Stegostoma tigrinum: one gene and its partners. The protein of the gene in region 1 purifies or fractionates together with the protein of each later gene. This does not show direct contact. Links are inferred from orthologs where the notes say so. Each region holds a gene or a part of one and is shown on either strand. Other genes may lie near its edges.

Evidence for each region. Proteins that work in one complex are often made in the same cells at the same time.
Region 2: the proteins of nek7 (region 1) and anks3 purify together in Homo sapiens (affinity purification with mass spectrometry; 3 studies listed by BioGRID and IntAct, with this or other methods). This does not show direct contact. The link is inferred for Stegostoma tigrinum from reciprocal best matches to the Homo sapiens genes NEK7 and ANKS3.
Region 3: the proteins of nek7 (region 1) and ankyrin repeat and SAM domain-containing protein 6-like purify together in Homo sapiens (affinity purification with mass spectrometry; 3 studies listed by BioGRID and IntAct, with this or other methods). This does not show direct contact. The link is inferred for Stegostoma tigrinum from reciprocal best matches to the Homo sapiens genes NEK7 and ANKS6.

The regions. Positions count from the first base shown.
Region 1 is NC_081361.1:37,332,832-37,340,755, reverse strand, and holds the start of nek7 (serine/threonine-protein kinase Nek7), read right to left. Parts: upstream 3,023-7,924; 5' UTR 2,860-3,022; intron 2,339-2,859; exon of another isoform or gene 2,224-2,338; intron 1-2,223. UniProt on the Homo sapiens protein: Protein kinase which plays an important role in mitotic cell cycle progression. Required for microtubule nucleation activity of the centrosome, robust mitotic spindle formation and cytokinesis.
Region 2 is NC_081376.1:31,370,839-31,377,749, reverse strand, and holds the start of anks3 (ankyrin repeat and SAM domain-containing protein 3), read left to right. Parts: upstream 1-3,911; 5' UTR 3,912-4,096; exon of another isoform or gene 4,097-4,553; 5' UTR 4,554-4,571; coding exon 4,572-4,741; intron 4,742-5,516; coding exon 5,517-5,715; intron 5,716-6,661; coding exon 6,662-6,783; intron 6,784-6,911. UniProt on the Homo sapiens protein: May be involved in vasopressin signaling in the kidney.
Region 3 is NC_081355.1:20,774,481-20,781,613, reverse strand, and holds the start of ankyrin repeat and SAM domain-containing protein 6-like, read right to left. Parts: upstream 3,001-7,133; 5' UTR 2,451-3,000; coding exon 1,598-2,450; intron 1-1,597.

The DNA.
Region 1 (7,924 bases):
CAGATTACAACAAAATACCTCCTTAAGTCAATACCATTACAGTCATTGCAGCACAGTAGGAGTTTATTCAATTCACAACACAGCTCCCTGTACTGCAACTGATTCAATCCACTCCCTCACCTTACGGTCTGCATAAGAGAACTGCAAGTTCGGTTCCCTCAAATGCCCATCTAACTTGTTTCTCAAATTATTGATCAAGTACACTTTCATCCTCCTAGGCAACCAGTTCCAGGCAAACAATGGCCAATGATTAATTTAGAGGGCTACCAAGATAGGGTTTGAGAATTAGACTAGCTGGGTAGCTCTTTTGGAAGCCAGTGCAGGCATGATTGGCCAACGGCTTCCTTCTGTAAAATTCTATGATTCATCTCAAGGGTGGATTACAAGGAAAGCCATTAACAACATGTAACAGTACAGATAACCTAGCGACTTCAAAATATGAAGAGAAATGTCCAAGATATTACCAGGATAGGGTTCATAAGACAGGGTAGATAAAGATAAACCATTCCTAGTGGTTGGAGATTCTAGGACTAGGAGCACTGCAGTCAGCGCCAGATCAGTCAGCATAGATGTAAGGATGCACTTCTTTACACAGGTATGGAACAAACTGCCATAAACAGCAGTTGCTACCAGATAAGTTATTAGTTTTAAATCATGGAAATATTTTTTGTTAAGCAAAGGTATTAAGGGATTTGGGCCAAAAGCAGGTATATGAAGTTATGTCACAGATCAGCCATGATCTCACTGGATGGCAGAACAGACTTCCAGGAGTGAACAGCCTACTCCTGTTCCGACAAATAGAAATATTTAGCTCGATCTTAACTCCAAATATAACCATAAACTTCAGAGCAATGTCAAAGTAGTTTAAAATTAAGATCAAGATTGTTGTTCAGAAGTATTTGTCATACAAAGAATGATTGTCCTTTTAAGATTATTCTGGACATCAGTTCACAGTGATATGATGCTATAAGTTAGCACGAGTATCTCAAATTAACGACTTACAGTATAAACTTTAGCTATTTCTGGCAGATCTACTTTTAATGTAGAAAGGAATAACTAATAAAATCCTGGAACCTAGGAAACTAATAGCAATTCATACACAAGTTAGTCACTGTCGTGTATAATTTGCTCAAGACAACAAACTGGAAAATCTGCTTTCAAGGCTGCAAAACTGCTGAAATTTTGAGAGGTGAATCATTTCGGATCTATAATGCTCAAAGCAAAAAAAACAATTCAATACAGCATTTAAGAAAACACTTAAAAAAACAGAAGAATTCACAAATCGTACTGAAAGAAAGATCAATGTCAAACTTGACAGCAAAGTTTAAAATATTACCTCATTTTAAATAACCAAGATGATTAAAACCCTGGACCGACGATGGCCTATAAACAAAATGCTCAAAACAAGTTACGAGAGATATTGATGTACATATTGACAGAGTGACAAATTATTGGCTAGTTCAACCAGTTGAGGTACATCAACCACCTCCCCACCCCCATGCAAATTGGAGATGTAAAGCTCATTTATTCTAATAGAGCAATTACACTCCACAGTATGAAAGCAATAATTAATTTCAAGGCATTTCATGTTCCAACAGAAACAGCACACGGAGGCAAATAACTGATCATAATCTGCTTCTTTTCAAGAACAGACAATGATTTTTCTTAAATTATTGTGCCATACCGTCATGTGAAAACACGATAAAATGTGCGCAGATTGCCCATTTGATAGAATTCTGTGCATTTAAACCAAGAAACCTGCTCAAACAAACATAGGAACATAGAACACAAGTGCGTCTTTAGCGCCTGAGCTTATTTCATTTCAATGCAACCTGGCTATTCTGCAAATTAACTCCATGCACAAGTCATATCTCGCAAAAAATCAGTTACAATTACTTTATCTGGCATCATTTACTATTTGCAGAAGACAGCTTCAAATTTCTACCACCTGCTGTGAAATGTTTTTGAAAAGAATTGCTCAATGACGTTCCGGCAAATCATTCACAAGGATGTTTCATTTCAACTATTAACCTATCAGTTCATAACATTTCGTTAAACATCTCATTGCTCAACCAATAGTCAACATTTCAATAATTTTCCACAGACCTGAAAGATCACTTTTGATCATCTTTGTTTCAATGTTTAAACGTACATTTTCACAAATATGGTAAGTCAACTCGCCCTGAAAGTTGAACTTAAACTGCTAAGGGTAAAAACCATCACCTTATAGCTTAACGTATTTTCCAGACAGCAAAATAAAACAAGATAGCAGGGGAGCATCTGCGAAGCTGCTCAGTTCACAACTCCAAACTAAGTGACAACTTTATCCTTGAGGATCAGAGCAACTTGCGAATGAAAGGCAGCGGTCTGCCCAACAACGGACGCATCAGTCAGCCAATAGCAATGGCGGTTTTATTTGGGCGAGCCAATAAGAGGAGAATTGGGCGGAACTGCTATTGCCAGCGGGTTTGGCTGTTCTTCGGGCCGGCACTGTCTCTCCCCGAGTCACGCCTTGGTTACGGTGCCGAAAGAAAGATAGAGAGAGAGAAAAAAAAACTGACTGAGTGGAGAGGTTGGAGCCGGGGCCAACAACGAGCTCGATGCTCTGGCCACAAGCGGCTTGTCCATTTCAGCCCTGAGTCCGGGGGGGGGGGGTTTCCTCTGCGGGTTTGCAGGAGACAAGGCGAGGCGGTCAGTTAAAAACTTAGGCCTGCGGAGGAGGGAGGGGGGTGTGTGTATGTTTATGGGGGGGTGGGGGGAGAAGAGAGCAAAAGGGAAATCTCCGCGTTTGGGAGGCGATGCCAGCTGCCCGCCCCGGTCTGTTTCCGACTCCGTAGCCAACAACTCCCTTGCCCTTACCGGGAAGCGGCGCAGCCGTCACTTGAGCAAATGGTGGCGATGGCGCCGCTGTAGGCTTTTCTTCTGCCCGCGGCCTGCGCAGCGCGTGCGGCTGCTCCGGGCTCGAGCTCGGGCTCGCGCGCTGATGTCAGCGCAAGGATCGTGCCGCCATTGGCTGGAAACTCCCAGCATTCCGCGGGACGGGGGGGGCGGAGCTTGCAGTATCATCGCCGGTGCTGACGCCACTGAAACCAGCGTGTGTCAATTGTTAGTGCAAGGCGAGGGAAGTCAGTGGTGAAGCTGTTGTTCAGGCAAACCTCGTTACAGGAGCTACTTGGGGCTGCATTTTTTTTCTTGCACTCCACTCTGTCGATACGATCAAGTTCACCTGGAGCTTGGCTCATCTTCCAACACAATGGTACAAATCCCCACTCATCCTCTTGCAGAACGTGGCACCGCTCTTGTTGAGTATTTGGTCCATTGTGGCAGGTAACTAATTGCAGCGATTGCACAGGACACCGCTTGGCACCTAGGAGAAATTCCGTGGAGAGCAACGGATGAAGTAAAAACCAACCAGGACTGCAATGAAACTCTAAGCCTAGTTAATTAGGAAAGAAAAACTTTGGGGGCCGGAAGGACGTATTGCACGTAATAGGCTATATGATACCTTTTAAATGCAATAAAATATCCTTTCACATAAACGGAAAATGTAACGTATAAGCTACAGTAGGGTATTTCTAGGATTCGGCTAGCTTCTCGAGAACCGAAAACACTTCTACCAAAGATAAAGCCATGAAAATTGGAACACAGTTCGCTATTTTATTGCAAGATCGATATATTTCGCCTGTATGATAACTGTCTCGTGTGTCAGAAATAAGTTTCTTTATAAAGTACCTCATTCAAGCATTGTGCAATCCACCAGCGGAGAACATATGGCAATCGTTTTTCAGAGAACATTTGAGTGATTTGATTGCTTAATCGCAGCAAAACTTATTTTCCTTTTATAGAATGTTTACACATGTTTAATTTGGACAGGTACGTGAATTGGAAGGATGAGGGGGATACAGGCCAAACACAAGCAAATGTAGCTCGTTCAGTTCAGGAAAGCTGGTCGGCAAGAACCTTTGGGTCAAAAGGTCGTGTTCCATGCTGTATGACTCTTAAGTACCGAGTTGCATTCCAAATGTATACGTAGGAAGCTTTAATGCAACAAACGTTGATATATGTTGTCAAAACCAGCCCAGCCCGTTCCCGCCTCCCTAACCTGTTCTTCCTCTCACCTAAGATGAGGTGCTCCTAAGATGCTGCTTGGCCTGCGTTGTTCATCCAACTCCACGCTTTGTTATCCTTGATATACGTAGCAAGGGTTTTGGAAGCTCCCCTTCAAGTCCTGCTCCGGGGCTTGTTCACGATATAAGGAGTATTCATGACTTAGCCAAACTGGTTGATAATAAACCTGTTGCTGTTTAAAACGTCATAACAAAGTGTGGAGCTGGATGAATACAGCAGGCCAAGCAGCATCTTAGGAGCTGACGTTTCGGGCCTTGACCCTTCATCAGAAAAGGGGAATGGGGAGAGGATTCTGAAATAATTAGGAAGATAGGTGGAGAGGAGAGTATAGGTGGGGAGGACGGACAGGTCAAGGGGGTGGGATGAGGTTAGTAGGTAGGAAATGGAGGTGTGGCTTGAGGTGGGAGGAGGGGATAGGTGAGAGGAACAACAGGTTACGGAGGCTGGGACAAGTGGGGGCAGGGGAGATTTTGAAGCTGGTGAAATCCACATTGATAGCATTGGGAACAGCAGATGCTAGAGAATCTGAGAAAGCAAAGTGTGGAGCTGGATGAACACAACAGGCCAAGCAGCATCTTAGGAGCACAAAAGCTGACGTTTCGGGCCTAGACCCTTCATCAGAAAGGATTTTCAGTTGAAGGGTCTTGGCCCGAAACGTCAGCTTTGGTGCTCCTAAGATGCTGCGTGGCCTGCTGTGTTCATCCAGCTCCACACTTTGTTATACAAGATGGATTTGCCATTTTTTGTTAAAAAATGACTTATGATGCTGTTTGATTCTAAACTAAAATTCTATGCCAAACATCAGCTCTTTAATTTTACCTCTTTCAGTAACATTAACAATTACAAAGTCCTTTTCCTATCAATTTATATGGCTTTCAAAAGGCCTTCATTGTGGTACTTGCAATCAAACTCTGTTGAGCAGAATAAGCACTGTCAGATGATACCAGCTCAGTTTTTGTGCCATCTCCCGGGTCTGCAGAATAATTGGTGAACTCGGTAGAAGGTTGTCTCCTGATCGAAACTAATGTTTTCCTGTTTTTCCTCACCATCCTAATTTCTGTCTCCACAAGATTGTGCTCCAGATGTAGTGTTTTTCTCAATAACTTGTCCTTGACCATGAATCCATGTTGACTCCGCAGCCTGGAGATCTATAAATTGAGTACTCTGGCAATTAATATAAATCTGTGTATGAGTGAAATGGTATTTAATCAATCTAAAGCATATATCTTACAACACATATAAATGGACATAAAAGAGTAAGAAATTGAGTGCAGCTTCCTTCCCATTGGAAACTCAAACAGAGCCAGACTACCCCATAGCATTATAAAATGATAACTTTGTAGTGTCAGGTTAATGTCGTCATTCTTTTTCAGTAAAAAATTTATCTTAATCCCTTTCTGGCATCACTATTAGCTTGTAAATAACTCAGTGAGTTAGTCTTCTGGGCAAGCTCACAAGTATTTGAAGTATTCACAAGGAAAGTGTGGGCCTTGCCTAAAATGATTAGGCTTGGAATCCCAAGTGTCGAAGATTTTCAACGTGCAATGACAGCTTCAGGCATGTGACCACGTAGATGTTTTACCTCCATCCACCCAGCATAGTAATCAGCCACAATTAAAACCATCTTCCCTTTGGCTCAAAAAAATGTTCCCACTGTCTGTACAGAAGTGAAGACAGCAACTGTAATTCCCTTTGTTCTTACCAAAGGAGAGCACATTATTTCCGTTGGAGTTCTTTTCGAATAATTTTGGGGGCCTTGGCAATTGAACAGAATTGCATGTTTTGGCAGAACCCCTCTTGACATCTGCATAACATGAGTATGATTTTTGTTGTATATTGAGCTAGAGGACTGTTGGTATGGTCAATCTTACCTAATAAATCAAGGAGTTACTCACAATGCTGATATATTTCTTTGTCCAAAATATTACTTCAAAGGTGTTTCAGCCTGAGAGATGACATGATACGACATGTATCATTTGTAGATTGTGAAGGCGTTCAATGGGAAAGATACGGGAATTTTCAAAATTAAGGCCCAAAATATAAAAGTCATGAATAAATTGATAAGAAACTCAGGGCAAACTTCTTTATGTTGAAGATAGCATGCATGTAGACCCCATTGCCACGTAAGATTGTGGAAGATAGTGCAGATGAATTTAAAGGGACCTACGTTTAGCATGAGTAAATTTTTAAAAAGTATACATTGATAGGGTGTAATGAAGTGAGTTGGGTGGAGGATCATCTGAAGCATGTACAGCTGGATTAATTAGTCTGTTTCCGTTCTGTATAATTATAAGTAAGTTTGAATGATTGTGAAATGTGTCAAGAATGTAAAAGTTCTTTATGCTACATTGCAGTTCCTCTTTTCTTTAAAAATAATACTTTGTCAGTCAAGCTGCAAATGATTTTGTGAACCTGTTGTTCTCTTTGGGGCCTTGCTTTATGTCTCTCCCTTATTTTGCCTGGTTCTTATTAAAGTTTTTCTGTCACTTGTCAAAGGCTTTTAATGTATTTTTAGTTGTCCTGTTGGCTCAAAAATTTCCATATTTTAAAGACTTTGATTTTGTGCAGGCACTGACCAAGTCCAATTCAGTTCTTTATGTACAGAACAAACGTGGCCACCTCATGACTGACTATTGCCTCCAATAGTGTAATTTACCTGATGTGGCAATGCTTATATTATCTTCTGTAACATAGGAATGAGAGTAGGCCATTCAGCACTCAAACATGAATGAAATCATGATTGATCTGTGACCTAAATTATTGTATCTGCCTTTGGCCCATATTCCTTAATACCCTTGCTTAACAAAAATAGATCTCTCTCAGATTTAACAATAACAACTGATCCAACATCCACTGCCATTTGTGGAAGAAAATTCTTCATGTGCTTCCTAACATCTCTCCTGAATGGTCTGGCCCTAATTCCCAGACTATGTCCCCTAATTCTAGAATTGCCAACTAGTGGAAATAGTTTATCTACACCGTCTTCTCCTGTTAATATCTTGAAAACTTCAATCAGACCACCCCATGACTTTCTAAAAATTAACAAAAACCGGCCTCATTTGTATACTCTCTTCTCATAACATAATCCCTGAAGTCCTACGTTGCATTTTCATAAACCTATGTTGCATTCCCGCAGGACTAATATATCCTTTCTAAGGTATAGTGAGAAATCTGCTCAAAATGGAATGTAACCGGTATTTCGTACAACTACAGCATATCTACTGCATCCTTGTATCTCAATCCTCCACATATAAAGTGCAAGATTCCATTCACTTTCTTGCTTATTACTTCACCTGTTAATGGTATTTTAAAGATCTACGCAGCTGAACCCTCTAGGTGTCTTTGGACATCCATTATATTTAACTTCCAGAACCATCCAGAAAGTAGCTTAATTTGTACTTTTTGAATGGATAACCTCATACTTGCCAACATTGAATTCCATTTGCCACAGTTTCACCCATTCATTTCGACTATCAATATCCCCTTGTAAGTTTACGCTATCACCTACACAGTCTATAATGTTGCCTAACTGTGTCTTCTGCAAATGTGGATGCATGACTTTCTATGCTATTATCCAAGTTGTTAGTAAATAATGTGAATAATTGAAGCCCTACTGCAAAAATCCTGTGAGACACCACTGGTCACATTGTCCCAGTTTCAGTACCTACCCACTATGTCTATTTTCTGTAACGTGTAACTCAAAGAATTTCCCAGCTCTGTGAGTAATTTTCCCTCAACTCTGTAGATTCTAACTTTGTTAACAATCTATCTGAGATTTTATCAAATGCCTTCTAGA
Region 2 (6,911 bases), on another chromosome or scaffold:
GGTTCACCTGCACATCTGCCAATGTGGTATACTGCATCCACTGTACCTGGTGCGGCTTCCTCTACATTGGGGAAACCAAGCGTAGGCTTGGGCACCGCTTTGCAGAACACCTCCGCTCGGTTCGCAATAAACAACTGCACCTCCCAGTCGCAAACCATTTCCACTCCCCCTCCCATTCTTTAGATGACATGTCCATCATGGGCCTCCTGCAGTGCCACAATGATGCCACCCGAAGGTTGCAGGAACAGCAACTCATATTCTGCTTGGGAACCCTGCAGCCCAATGGTATCAATGTGGACTTCACCAGCTTCAAAATCTCCCCTTCCCCCACCGCATCCCAAAACCAGCCCAGTTCGACCCCTCCCCGCACTGCATCACACAACCAGCCCAGCTCTTCCCCTCCACCCACTGCATCCCAAAACCAGTCCAACCTGTCTCTGCCTCCCTAACCTGTTCTTCCTCTCACCCATCCCTTCCTCCCACCCCAAGCCGCACCTCCATCTCCTACCTACTAACCTCATCCCACATCCTTGACCTGTCCGTCTTCCCTGGACTGACCTATCCCCTCCCTACCTCCCCACCTATACTCTCCTCTCCACCTATCTTCTTTTCTCTCCATCTTCGGTCCGCCTCCCCCTTTCTCCCTATTTATTCCAGAACCCTCACCCCATCCCCCTCTCTAATGAAGGGTCCAGGCCCAAAACGTCAGCTTTTGTGCTCCTGAGATGCTGCTGGGCCTGCTGTGTTCATCCAGCCTCACATTTTATTGTCTACACCTTGGTATCTCAGATTCTCCAGCATCTGCAGTTCCCACTAACATTGACACACATTCCAGTATCAATTCAAATCCAAATAACAGTCTTCAAGGATTGAGGTTTACGCAAAAGAGCTGATGACATCAGCTACAATTGGAGGAACAGTGTGGCCCCATAGCTTTGGGTGCTGCTGGTCCTTTGGTTCTTCTGGATGACGATGTCTAATGTGTCCTTCTATTTGCAAAGATGTAGCTGCCGAAGAGTTGTCCAGCAGTAGCTGAGTCAGTATGCTTCCACCTTCAGAGAGGGTCAACAGTGCAGAGAGGCCAGGGAGTCCGGCCTCTGCACTAGGCTTTTATGAGCTTGTTGTTTCCAATTAGAATCCTTCTGAACAGTGTGTGCTGCAGCCCCCTCCTATCAGGCTGAGTCACTTACCTTGCCCACTCAGCATGGTTGTAGCCATTTTCTTTCCATTGCACATTTTTGATTTTAAGGGTAACGTAAGGTGATAGTGAGTACTTTACAGTGACTCCCAGCCTCAGCCTGACTATGTCAATGTGTAGTCTAATAGCCTTTCCGAGTGGCCCATTCTGTCAAAAACATCAGATTAACATTTCCACAAGTCCTCACCCAACTCATCTACATTCGTCTACATCTATCTACCCTTTCCACCCAGACTCAAGCAAACAAGGTGAACATGCCTGGTTTGTCATTCATGCCCACGCCTTGAAGCCAGGGTACTACTAACCATGAACAATTGCTCCTCCGTCATAACATATGTCCCAGCTATGCTTTACAACCTGGCACACATCAAAATTCTGCTGGATCCCTCCTCGATTGTAGTGCACCATTTGCACAGTGGGCATTCCCCAGTCCCAAAGGCTAACGTGTTGGTACAAGACTGTAGCCACTATTTCACCCTCACCTGTCCAAACCACTTACTTTCTGAGAATGGAACTGGCAGACTGACAGTGGCCCACTTCCTCAACCAAGGGGTAACTGGACAGTCCCAGGCCAAATGTGCCCAGTCTCTTGACTGCCATCTATACATCTCCCTAACCATATTATTGCTGCCCTTTGGATTGGCTTCAACAATGTCAATAGACTGACCTTGGCCCACATAGATCCTCTTGAGTGAAAACCCACCCAAAGGATGCCTGACATGGTCAGTTGCCTGGACTATATTGAGAAGTTGCCTATGATGTACTGTGCTGGGATCTTCCCTGACAAAGAGGCCCTTGGGCTTCTTTGAAGATTATGCTTCAGAAATTTCTGAAGAAGGGTTCTGACCTGAAACATCAGCTTTCCTGCTCCTCTGATGCTGCCTGGCCTGCTGTGTTCCTCCAGATCCACACAGTGTTATCTCAGACTCCAGCATCGGCAGTTCTTACTATCTCTGGTACATAAAGTTACCCATTATAGATAATCAGAGAAAATTATCATGCATTAACAGAACTGTTCATTACCTCTAGTCAGTTACACTTCTATTAAGTTTTGTACAAGCATTGCCTACAAAGTCTCTCTCAATGCTATGTGTGTGCATTGACATTGGCTGTTTGGTATCTCGTTGCTCCTGGTGTGTCACTTCCATGGCAAGTGCTGTGACTATGGTAACTGTTGTTACCGATTCATTTCCATTGCTAAGGGATGGTGGTCAGCTGCATACAGTGAAGTACAGGATCTTCAGCTGAATGGCAATGTCTACGGGTTGTATTTTTTTAGCCTCCTTGCTGTTTCATTCCGTAATAAGTCTGAAAATTCACTATTTTTCAGTTGAATACTTATTACTGTTTTGGATATTTTCTTTTTACAAGATTTAATGTACACCACATTACTAGTGATAACTGCTTGCTTTGCTGTAGATGCCTGCTGGGGATATTTCAAAAAGGGACTGGCTGGTTTTTGTTTTATCTGGTTCACCATTCAGCTGCACTTTCCTGGCTGCCACAGCTTGCATGTAAAAGCACTCTTAGCTGAAGTAGAGGTCAAACGATTACAACAAGTCATCCAGTACACCAAGTACAAATGCATTTCTCAAAGCAGTTATATAATATATTTTTACAGAAGCAAATATATTTTAAATAAATATTTCTTGAAAAAAAATCTATACAAGTACTTCCTGGTTTGCAAAGCATTTTAGAATTTCTTGTGAACAAGGCTGGAGGAACATTATAGTTCTGATCCCATTACTCCACGCGTCACAACATATAATAGAAATCTTTTTTCCAGGCATCAAAATGGCCAATTAAATGCTTTTTCTATATCATATTTTTAAAAAAATCTTTGAATCAGGTTGCTTAATAAAATACAATTTCAAATTTATCAAAGTACAAGTAATTTAGTAAAGATACAATAATTGGTTAGTGTTCACAGGCAGTAGTAGAGATGTATAAATGTTTCTCGTTCTCAATATCTCCACAACACGCATGCTTCGGGGAAAAGAGAAAAAGAAACAGCAGACATTGGCTATCTGGAAAAATGGGAAAGAAAAACATTTTTGTCAAGAGTTATTCTTAAAGGGAAAAGGATAAAGCAGAAGATGTTCCAATGTGCACTGTTCTGATGTTCTGGCATATGTGGTAAAATCATACATGTCTCTGAAGTCTTGTAAACACAGTTTGCTCATGGAATACAATCTAGCAATGTATTGTCAATCATTCTTTCATAAGAACAAATAAATTCCACTCAACAAGAGAGTTTTTTCAGAAATGAGAGAGAAGAGCTCGGCAGCTTTTTGTTAGAAAGCTCTCCCTGACTCAGCTTGTTCTTAGCAAGCTTCCCTCCAACTGAACCAGATAAAACAAAAACCAGCCAGTCCCTTTTCGAAATATCCACAGCAGACCATGCAAACTTAGCAATAACAAAATTGTTCAGCACAAAGATAAATCTACACCACTTTACTCTTCTGGTACAGTAGTTGTGTCTCTACTTTTTGGTAGGTTCAAGTCGCATCGACTCCAGAAATGCGTAATAAGATTGATCAGAAAGGTATATAAAACTAACAACAGCTAAGAAAGTCCTCCATTGCAGGGGTATGCTGCTGGGCGGAGCAGAGATCTTTAACTCAGCGGAGTACCTTCTTGCATTCATCCTGCCTATCGTTGTTTATATGGCCTCATGTGTATATGATTGGCTGGTGTATGTCACATGCTTGTGTAGCCGGAAGAGAAGCAGCGGTGAGAAAGTGCGGTAGCCATTTTCTGTCCAACGGTGTTACTTTTACTTTTTTTAAAAAAAGGTAGTGATCATCGCAGGGGACGAGCAAGGGGGGCGCAATTGTTTCTTGCGGATGGACGTAAAGATTATTAAAAAAAACTTAGCGCCGTTGGCAGGAGGCCTAGGTACTCTAACCTCTAGCAACAAGCGTCACAACACAGATAGGGGTCACAGTAACCCATAGCAACAGGGGTGACAGTAACCTGTAGCAACTAATGTCACTTACACACCGATGGGACAACTGTAAAGTTCTGAATCTCCTTAGGTTATTTAATCATTTAAAATATCATTTCAGTAGATTAATGGTTCTTCACAAATCCATGACATTCTAATCCTGTCACGATATTCTCACGATGTCCTCGTATTTGGAGATGAGGCATGACTTGTCATTGAGGTTGTTTTTCCGCATGGTCCGTCTATATAGTCTCCGATGTGATCAGTACCTGAGCACAATATCAGGCCCACTGATACGGAATGTAGTTGCCTCCTCTGGCCTTCAAGGGTTGCACTGACTAGGAATTCCCACACCACTGAGCATGTGATTTGAAGGAGGTGTCGTGATGATCTGATCTTTCTGTACAGGAAGGAAATTAGACCAGCATGTCTGAGCTGAGTGATGACTCAAGTGAGACCGAGCTTCTGAATCGCAGCTTGTCCATGTGGCATGGCTTTGAACAGCTAGTTGGCTGTGAGGACCTGGATGTCCCTTTAGACCTTCACACGGCATCATCGATTGGACAGTATGATGTGGTGAAGGAGTGTATCCAGAGGTAAGAGCAGGAAGACTGTTAGTTGCCAGTGAGACCCAATGTGCAAGGATAATAATTTAGCCAGCATAAGCATGTTTACTTAAAGATGTGAATTCTTCCAAATTAACTTTTACTCTGCTTGTAGAAACTATTAAACTGGCTGATTTATGAATCCTCATGTATCATTACATCAGGTGCTTCCATACCTGAATGCTGTCAATTGATCCACCAAATCACTTCAGCTGGAAAGTGCTTATGTGGATTACAGATTGATGGTCAGTATTATCAATCTGTTGATAATTCCACTGAAAATCATTACATCAGCAATCCTAGAATGAAATCTTCATCAGTAGTGCCAGCGTTCAACACACTCCAACAAATCCAAAATCATATCTCACCTTCAGGAACCTGCACACTCTGCCAAAACTAGCCCCAACATAAGAATCCCTATTTAGTGCCTGACACAGTTACAGAAAGTGAAAACCAATGTCAAACTGTAGGGACTGTAACTTATCATCTTGCATTTCAGACAGGTGTTGACGGTACCCGTTGGTCGAGGGAATCTTTAGTGACTGGGTCTGTCTGTGTGTGTGTATGTGTGGACCTGGCTCAGTTGTGTATGACAGGGGAGTGGGAAAGTATCTGGCACTGTGTGTGTGTGTGTGTGTGTGTGCATGTGTGTGTGTGTGTGTATGTGGCTCAGATGGGGTTGGTATGTTTGTGTGCGGACCTGGCTGGCTGTGTGTGGGGGAGCGGGACTGTGAAATTGGAATGATTTGTTATTTGCCTTGTTTAGAGGAAAAGTAAACCCGAATCAGAAGAACCGGGGAGGCTGGACACCTCTGATGTACGCGTCATATATTGGTCATGATACTGTTGTTCACCTCTTGCTGGAGGCAGGAGTGGATGTCAACATGACAACAGAGAGAGGGCAGAGTGCATTGATGTTGGCAGCAAGCTGTGGCAATGAGAGCATTGCCTACTTCTTGCTTCAGGTCAGTATGTTTTGGGGTCAGTGATTATGCAGTGTGGTCTGGGGCAAGTTAGTGGTATAATTTGGATTATGGAAACAGTGATGGAGATAAAGTAGCACCATTCAGGCAACAGAATATCTTGGGTATGTAATGAATGGGATTGAATTGGTGCAGAGACATTAAAAGGAAACTGTGACTATAACACACATCACTGAAAGTTGATAAAATGTGAGGCTGGAAGAACACAGCAGGCCCAGCAGCATCTCAGGAGCTCAAAAGCTGACGTTTCGGGCCTAGACCCTTCATCGGAGAGCTCTGAAACCAATCCTTCGAGAGAGCTCTGATGAAGGGTCTAGGCCCGAAACGTCAGCTTTTGTGCTCCTGAGATGCTGCTGGGCCTGCTGTGTTCTTCCAGCCTCACATTTTATTATCATGGATTCTCCAGCATCTGCAGTTCCCATTATCACTGAACGTTGAGCCAGTGTACAAGGCAATAGAACTGGAATGCTTGGATATGTAGCCACAACAGATGTATATGATTCCACAGCAATTAAATTGATGATGTATAATGCACAGGGCAGCTCTCTTTTTACCATAATGGTTACCTCAAGATCATAGGTGTATTTATCCGGCAGAACTACTGAGCTATTAGGAAAGATTACAGACTACGTCGAGGAGAGAAGATGGTTTGCAGGATATTGTTCAGGATATTAATATTGAGTGGGAAGTTTAGGGGACATATCATTGCAAATGTTTGATGCAAACGAAGCTGCAGAAGTAGAATCAGATATCAAAATTTGGGCTTCAGTGGAAGGTTTTGGACATGGAGGGACTAAGGTGCAGTAGGAGGGTTAGGGTACTCGAAGGATTGGTTTCAGTTGGTACTGGAGGTTTGGGTTTACCTGGAAGTGTTAAGACACAAGAGGGCTGAGATTTGATGAGCTGAATTGCTTTTTCTTTCAAGCAGCAAGGGGCTGAACTGGAACTGAAGGATCACAGAGGCTGGACTGCACTGTTCCATTGCACGAGCACTGGACACCAGCAAATGGTGAAGTTCCTTCTGGATAATGGGGCTGATGCAAATCTAAAGTAAGATACGGGGTAGATATGATTTGCATGTCCTTCATCCTGAGAGCATATTCTTTGTTCAATGTTTTGTTCACTGCTCACACAAATATTAAACATCTGCTAATGCACAACAGGCCTACCTGTATTTA
Region 3 (7,133 bases), on another chromosome or scaffold:
ACTGAAATCCTCCAATCCCAGCAAAATCCTGATAAATCTTTTCTGCACCCTCTCCAATTTAATACGAATATCCTTCCCAAAGCAGGCCACCCAGAACTGTACACAGTACTCCAAAAGTGGCCTCGCCAACATCTTGTGCAACCTCAAAATGTTGTTCCAACTCTTACACTCAATGGTCTGAGCAATGAAAACAAACATGCTAGATGCCCTCTTAACCATTCTGCCTACTTAGGGCATAACTTTCAAAGAACTTTGTATCTAAACTCCTATGTCTCTCTTCTACAACAGTGCCTAGAGCCCTACCATTAACTGTATAAATCTTGCCCTTGTTCATTTTATCAAAATACAAACTCTTGCATTAATTCAAATTAAATGTCATCTGTCAGTCCTCAGCCCATTGGCCCAATTGATCAAGATCCCTTTGTAACTTTAGATAACCTTCTTCACTGTCGACTATACCACTAATTTTGCCACCCACAGATGTACTAACCAGACCTTCTGAATTCCCATCCAAATTTAGGCATCGGTAGATAGATTTTTGATTATAAGGGGGATGAAACATTATTGGGAGTATGCAGGAATGTGGAATTGAAGTGAAAATCAGACCAGTCTTTGTCTGATAAAATGGTGATGCAAGCTCAAAGGTTGCTTGATAATAAAATGTGAGGCTGGATGAACACAGCAGGCCAAGCAGCATCTCAGGAGCACAAAAGCTGACGTTTCGGGCCTAGACCCTTCATCAGAGCTCTGATGAAGGGTCTAGGCCCGAAACGTCAGCTTTTGTGCTCCCGAGATGCTGCTTGGCCTGCTGTGTTCATCCAGCCTCACATTTTATTATCTTGGAATCTCCAGCATCTGCAGTTCCCATTATCTCTCAAAGGTTGCTTGTCATGTTGTGATCCATTTTACAAGAATCAGCGATAAAGGATAAATATCAGGAAGCAAATAGGACTAGATTAATTTAGGATACCTGGTTGGTATAGATGAGTTGGAATGAAGGGTCTGTTTCCCTGCTGTAAATCTCTATGACTAAATGTCATTGTTCCTCTATGAAAGAGCATAAATTATACTCATACATGAGATAACAAGGTGCAGAGCTGATGAACACAGCAGGCCAAGCAGTATCACAGGAGCAGGAAAGCTGACGTTTTGGGCCTAGACCCTTATCCTCTCACAAGGTTAGGCATTTCTTCTGATTTACATTTCATCGGGAAAGTACCTGTTATATCACAACACTATGCCAGTGCTGGATTTTGTTGGAGCCGAATACACCACCTTCTGGTTGGAAGTGTTGTCAATTTCAGCTACATTGACAAGATAATAGAACAAGATAACAAAGTGTGAAGCTGGATGAACACAGCAGGCCACTTAACTGTCCTCTGGGCAATCAGCGATGGGCAACAAATGCTGCCTAGCAGCGACGCTCTCATCCCGTGAATGAATTTTAAAAAGTCCCCTGTTATTTTAAGGTTGAGCACATATTGGACTGCAGACGTTAATTCTGTTTCTCTCTACGATGGTGCTGCTATTTCCAGCGTCTTGAGTTTATTGCAGATTTCCAGCATCTGCATTGCTGCCATCCCCTTCAAACCCCTACCTGATTTGGGCCGATTGGTGGTCTTGGAATCCAGGTAGTCTCTGATCTCCTTCTGCCTACAGGCGCAGGCGATCTCGAAGGCGGTCATCCCTCCCACGTTCGTCTGATTGGGATCCGAGCCTGCATCGACCAGCTGCTGGGCCACGGCCAGCTCGCCGTTGAGTGCCGCCAGCATCAGGGCGCTCCAGCCCCCAGCGCGTCCCGCAGGCGCTCCGGAGCAGGAAGCCCCCCATTCCAGCAGGGCCCTGACCAGCGGCTCAGCGCCATGTTGGGCCGCCACCATCAGGGGTGTCAAGGCGGGGGCGAGCGCAGGCTCCTGCCCCTCCCCCACCCGCTGCTGCCGGCCCCCACCGCCCGCATCCGGGCACGCGCCGCCCTCCAGCAGGGCGCGCGCCAGGCCGACGTGGCCTCCGCGCGCCGCCGCCGTCAGCACGCTGGCGCCCAGCTTGTTGGCGGCGTTGGCGTCGGCGCCGTGCTCCAGCAGCACGCGCGCTACGCCCAGCTGCCCGAAGCGGGCCGCCTGCATCAGCGGCGTCCAGCCGTAGCGGTTGCGGCTGTCCACCGAGGCGCCCTTCATCAGCAGGAACCGCACCAGGTGCTCGTGGCCGTGGCCGGCCGCGAACTGCAGCGCCGAGTTGCCGTCGTCGTCCGTGCAGTCGACGGGCACCTGCGGGGCCCTGAAGTCCGGGCCCGCCGCCTGCTCGCCCCGCTCTACCTCCTCTTTCTTCTTCTCCTCATCCTCCTCGTCGCCGTCTCGCGGTGCCGGCTCCAGCAGCCGCCTGGCGTTCTCGAAGTTTCCTTCTTCGCAGGCGCGGAACAGAAGCTGGTAGATTGGGGGGATCCCGCACTCCATTTTTTTTTAAGGCCTAGGCGGCAACAGCAAAGGTGATGCGTCCCGGTCGCCCATCAGCGTCCAGCCCTGAAGCAACGACATCGCTGCGACGTTCTTCTTTCCTCTCACGCCGGAGTTGGTCGCCAGTCGGGATTTGCGAGGAACCCTGATGCACGTTGGAACCGTCTTTCCCGTTACTATAGCGACCAATTGAGGTCAGTTCTCCCGGTGCTGAACCCTATTGACGGGTCGGTGCAGAAAACAGAAGGGCCGAGCCCAAGTAACCCTCCCTGCGATTGACATGACGAACGACCAATCAGACACCACCGTCTCACTCGTTTCCCCGCCTCCTTCCCGACTTCATTTGAAGAGCCCCGAAACCGCGCGATTCGCGGCGAGGAGGGACGAGGCTTCAGTACCGAGCGACACGTCGAACTGTTCCCAAAGGGCTGGCTAATAGGCTGTGCCGAATGACGCTACCACATGCGTCACAATGGGATTTCCCCAGGCTCTGCTTCTGACTATGGGAACCCCGCGCTCATGCGCGTCCCAGAGCCCAGCTGTACACTAACCTCAGTGATCGAGGGGGCTGCCGAACAATCTACGTGATGCTTCTGTATGCACTCGCTCCGGGATGAGGCTGGCTACTTTTTTGAAGTCCCAAAGCATACGAGAGAAATGGACTAAACATTCGGCAAATAAACCAGATGACCAAATTTATCACGCCTCTAATTTTTGAATGAAATAGTGTTTCAGGACCAGGACCTGCAACCCAAGTCTGATCTTGTGGTTTATTAGACAGCAATGGTGTCCGTGCTACTAAAAACTGAAGACGCTTGGGCAACCCACAGAGGGCAGTTTAAAGCATTGGAAAATCAGTAGAGCCTTGTGTAGTGGTAGTGACCTAATTTCTGAGCCAGGAGGCTTCCGTTCAAGTTCCATCAGCATGTGCAAAACATTTGAGTTGATCAGAAAATACCTAAAAATAGGGAGGTGTGGCTAAAATTACACAAGACATTAGTCAGACCTCACCCTGGACTATGTCAACAAATTTGATCTCCTTGCCTTGGAAAAGATACACTGGCATTGGAGACCATTCAGAGAAAAGTTCACTATGTTGATTGCAGGGATGCGGGGAATTGTCTTTCGGGGAGAGGTCGTGTAGTTTGGACTTGGTTGGGTAGCTGACATTTAGAAGAATGAGAAGCAATCTTACAGAAACAAGATTCTTGTAGAGCTTAACAAAGTAGATGAGGAGACACTGTTTCTCCTTGTGGGAGAGTTTTGGAGCAGAGAGCTTAATCTCAGAGTAAAGAAATTGCCTGTTTAAGACAGTTTGTTTTCTTTCAAATGGTAATAATCTGGAATTCTTGACTGTGGAGGCTGGTCATTAAATGTGTTATCTCGCAGATTGGCTGTTTCTTTGAAGTTGTTTACAGTGTTACTTGGTTCTAGTTAAAGGTTTTTTTTAAATCACGAAAAATTTCAATGTCATTATAAAACTTAAAAATGAAGGCACCAAACGAAAACGTTAAAGAGATGTCTAGCATATCTTGTCTCATTAACTAAAGAGTGTTAACTGTAGAAGTAATTACACAATTTTAATATGAATTTTATAACAGAATTAACTTTTTTTAAATTAAAAAGAAGTAATAAAATTTGATGAGTATGACAAGTGCAGTAAACGGTGGAATCCAGTCAGTCCTCAGAGGTGAGCGGGCCACGAGGTGGCCAGAGGAGTGCGACCAGTAACTTTGGAATGCAACATAGAAAGGTCCCAAAGTCTAAAGATTACAGTAATTGTTAAAAGGCTAAGGGATTCGAGGGTTGTCTATACTAATGCCCATCATTGATCAGGTGTTTTACAGGATTGGTCCTATTGACAGGAAGGTGAGGGTACAGTAACCACATTGTGTATGATCATTGTAAAACAAAATGTATAAAAATACTCCATTTTTACTGTAAAAATCAGCATGTGATTGATCTCTTTTCTGATCTGAGATGCAGATTAAGGGAACAATTGTGTTCTCATGTCCAAGCCAGGTTCAAGGAAGATTATTTGGCCCTCTCCCTGCATTAACTGGTTTTTGCTTGACTAAATGTCCACTACGTGCCTGAATCCTGTCTATCTCCTGAGTCTTTGTCCTTGGTTAGGGGTCACAGTCTTACAGCGTTCAAGGTTGAGACGGACAGATTTTTGATCAGGAAGGGTTTCTCGAGTTATTGAGATACAGCAGGAAATTGGAGTTGAGGATTATCAGATCAGCCACTGAACTCATTGAATGGCAAAATTGACTCCTTGAGCCAAATGGCCTATGGTCATATGTCTTATGGTAACACCAGTACCTTCACGTGAAGCTTAAAATCCCATGTCAAGCAAGTTCATCCAACAGCAGCACCATCTCCCAGGTAAACATGCCTATCATCTAGACCTTAACCCCACACAACCAGATCTGGTTAGGTAGAAGACAAAATTACAGAATGATCCCAGCACAGGAGAAGGCTTTTTGATCTTTCATGTGTGCAGAGGCATTAGCAATTTATCTAGTTCCACTACCTGGCTTTCTCCCTGCTCCCTGCAAATTCTTCCTTTTCAGATGATTACAGAATGTTTTTAGCACGGAAGAAGACCATTCTGATTATGCTAATACTCTGATGGAGAAATGCATAAAGTGCCACTGTCCTGATTTTTCCATTTTGGCTTGAATTTTTTTCAAATGATGTTACAATCTTGAAGGAGATTATTAACATTTAACCCCAACTCAAACTACCAATTATTATTTGAAAGAATAATGTGTCATAGATCCACATTTCAAACAAAAAGAACTCATACTGTACAAGAGCTAAATAGAACAAGTATAATTAGTTTAACACTCTATTTTGTAAACAGTTGGATTTTCAATGCAAAAATCTCAATGCAAAGTCCCTGTTAATAGTGTTTATGGGCAAATGGCCTAATTCTGCTCCTATATCTTATGATCTTTATTTCCACCCAAGTGTTCCCTTGCACGTGCAGGATCTAACTGAGTCTACACTTTTTAGGATTCATCCCCATAACCCACCTAATCTAGGGCAATTTAGCATGACCAATTCACCTAATGGGCACATTTTTGGACTGTGGGAGGAGACCGGAGCACCTGCAGGAACCCCACACAGACACTGGGAGAATGTGCAAACTCCACACAGGCAGTTGCCCAAGGCTGGGATCGAACCCCGGTCCTTGGTGCCACAGCTTTCAGGAATTCACCAGTGATTCTTCTCAGTTTTCCCACTATTCTCTAAGATATGAGATTTCTTGGAGAACTTCCTCTATCATTCAGTTATGTAATCTCCAAATCTTTTGAAACACTTGTATTTATGCCACCCCATATTTAAAAATGGGGCTGTCTGTTCGTTTGTTCAGTGTCTCCAAAACCAGAAAGCACCTCCATTTCTGATTGTAATTTGGATAGGATGTACCAAAGGGCTAAAAGTCAATGATGATATTCGAAAGCTGCACGACCTTGAAGGAGTCCAGTGAGCATTCCTGTATGTGCTGAAGACAGCACAATCGTGTTTTTCTATAATTGTTTTTTTCTTTGCCTTGCTGTTTGTTACACCGTATAAGAGAGAGAGTTTTGTTCCAAGTCACTGGACTTCACCTCGGATCAGGATTGCAGATGTTGCCAGAAACAACTCAGCCTCCAGACCAGCCCTCGATCAAGGGGACCCTGACAGGCATAAGGGCGGGAGGCTTATTGTTTTTTTCCTCTCTTTATCATTCTTTTTATTTACTTAATAAATGTTTCTTTCTTTTTCAGCTTTTATTATAACTCAATAAATGTTCATATTTAAGCAAATTGCTATTGTTGAGCCTTCTCTTAACCACATTTAACCGAATCTGAAAAGAACCACTTGGATGCACTGTGATCCAAGACACACTGTCATCCATGTGTGAATTTCCAAGCTATTTTTGAATTAATTTATTCAGAATTCACCTACTAAATATTATTGGCCTCCATATTTGTAGTTTTTTCATCACATAACTGTAGATGTACTTCTATTCTTAAGACCATTGCCTAGACTCAAACTTTTGTTCCTCTATTTGAGATAGTAATTCTAAAAGGACTTTCATTGTGTAAATAATTTATTCCCCTGTCAGTCAAAATCTTCTTTACCTAATTTAGTGAAAATCTTCTTAATTAAGTGATATCACTCAGATGGTGCTATTGCTCACAAGGAAAAAGGTCTTGTATTCCTCTTAGTTCTGGTGTTTGAATAGTTTGTGATCCTTCACTTTTCCTGCTTCCATTCAGAATGTTGATAGCTTCTTCATTTTAGACCTCCACCTCCATGTCACATTCCAACATCATGTCTTTCATACAACTGACATATAACATTCACTTATATCCTTTGGCAACAGCTGAATAACTAGGGGGTGTCGTGGTGGCTCAGTGGTTAGCACTGCTGCCTCACAGCACCAGGGACCGGGGTTCGATCCCAGCCTTGGGCAACTGCCTGTGTGGAGTTTGCACATTCTCCCAGTGTCTGTGTGCGTTTCCTGCAGGTGCTCCGGTTTCCTCCCACAGTCCAAAGTGCACATTAGGTGAATTGGTCATGCTAAATTGCCCTAGATTAGGTGGGTTATGGGGGATGAATCTGCATGGAATGCTATGAGGTTTGGTGTGGACTTGTTGACTCAAAGGGCCTGTTTCAACACTGTAG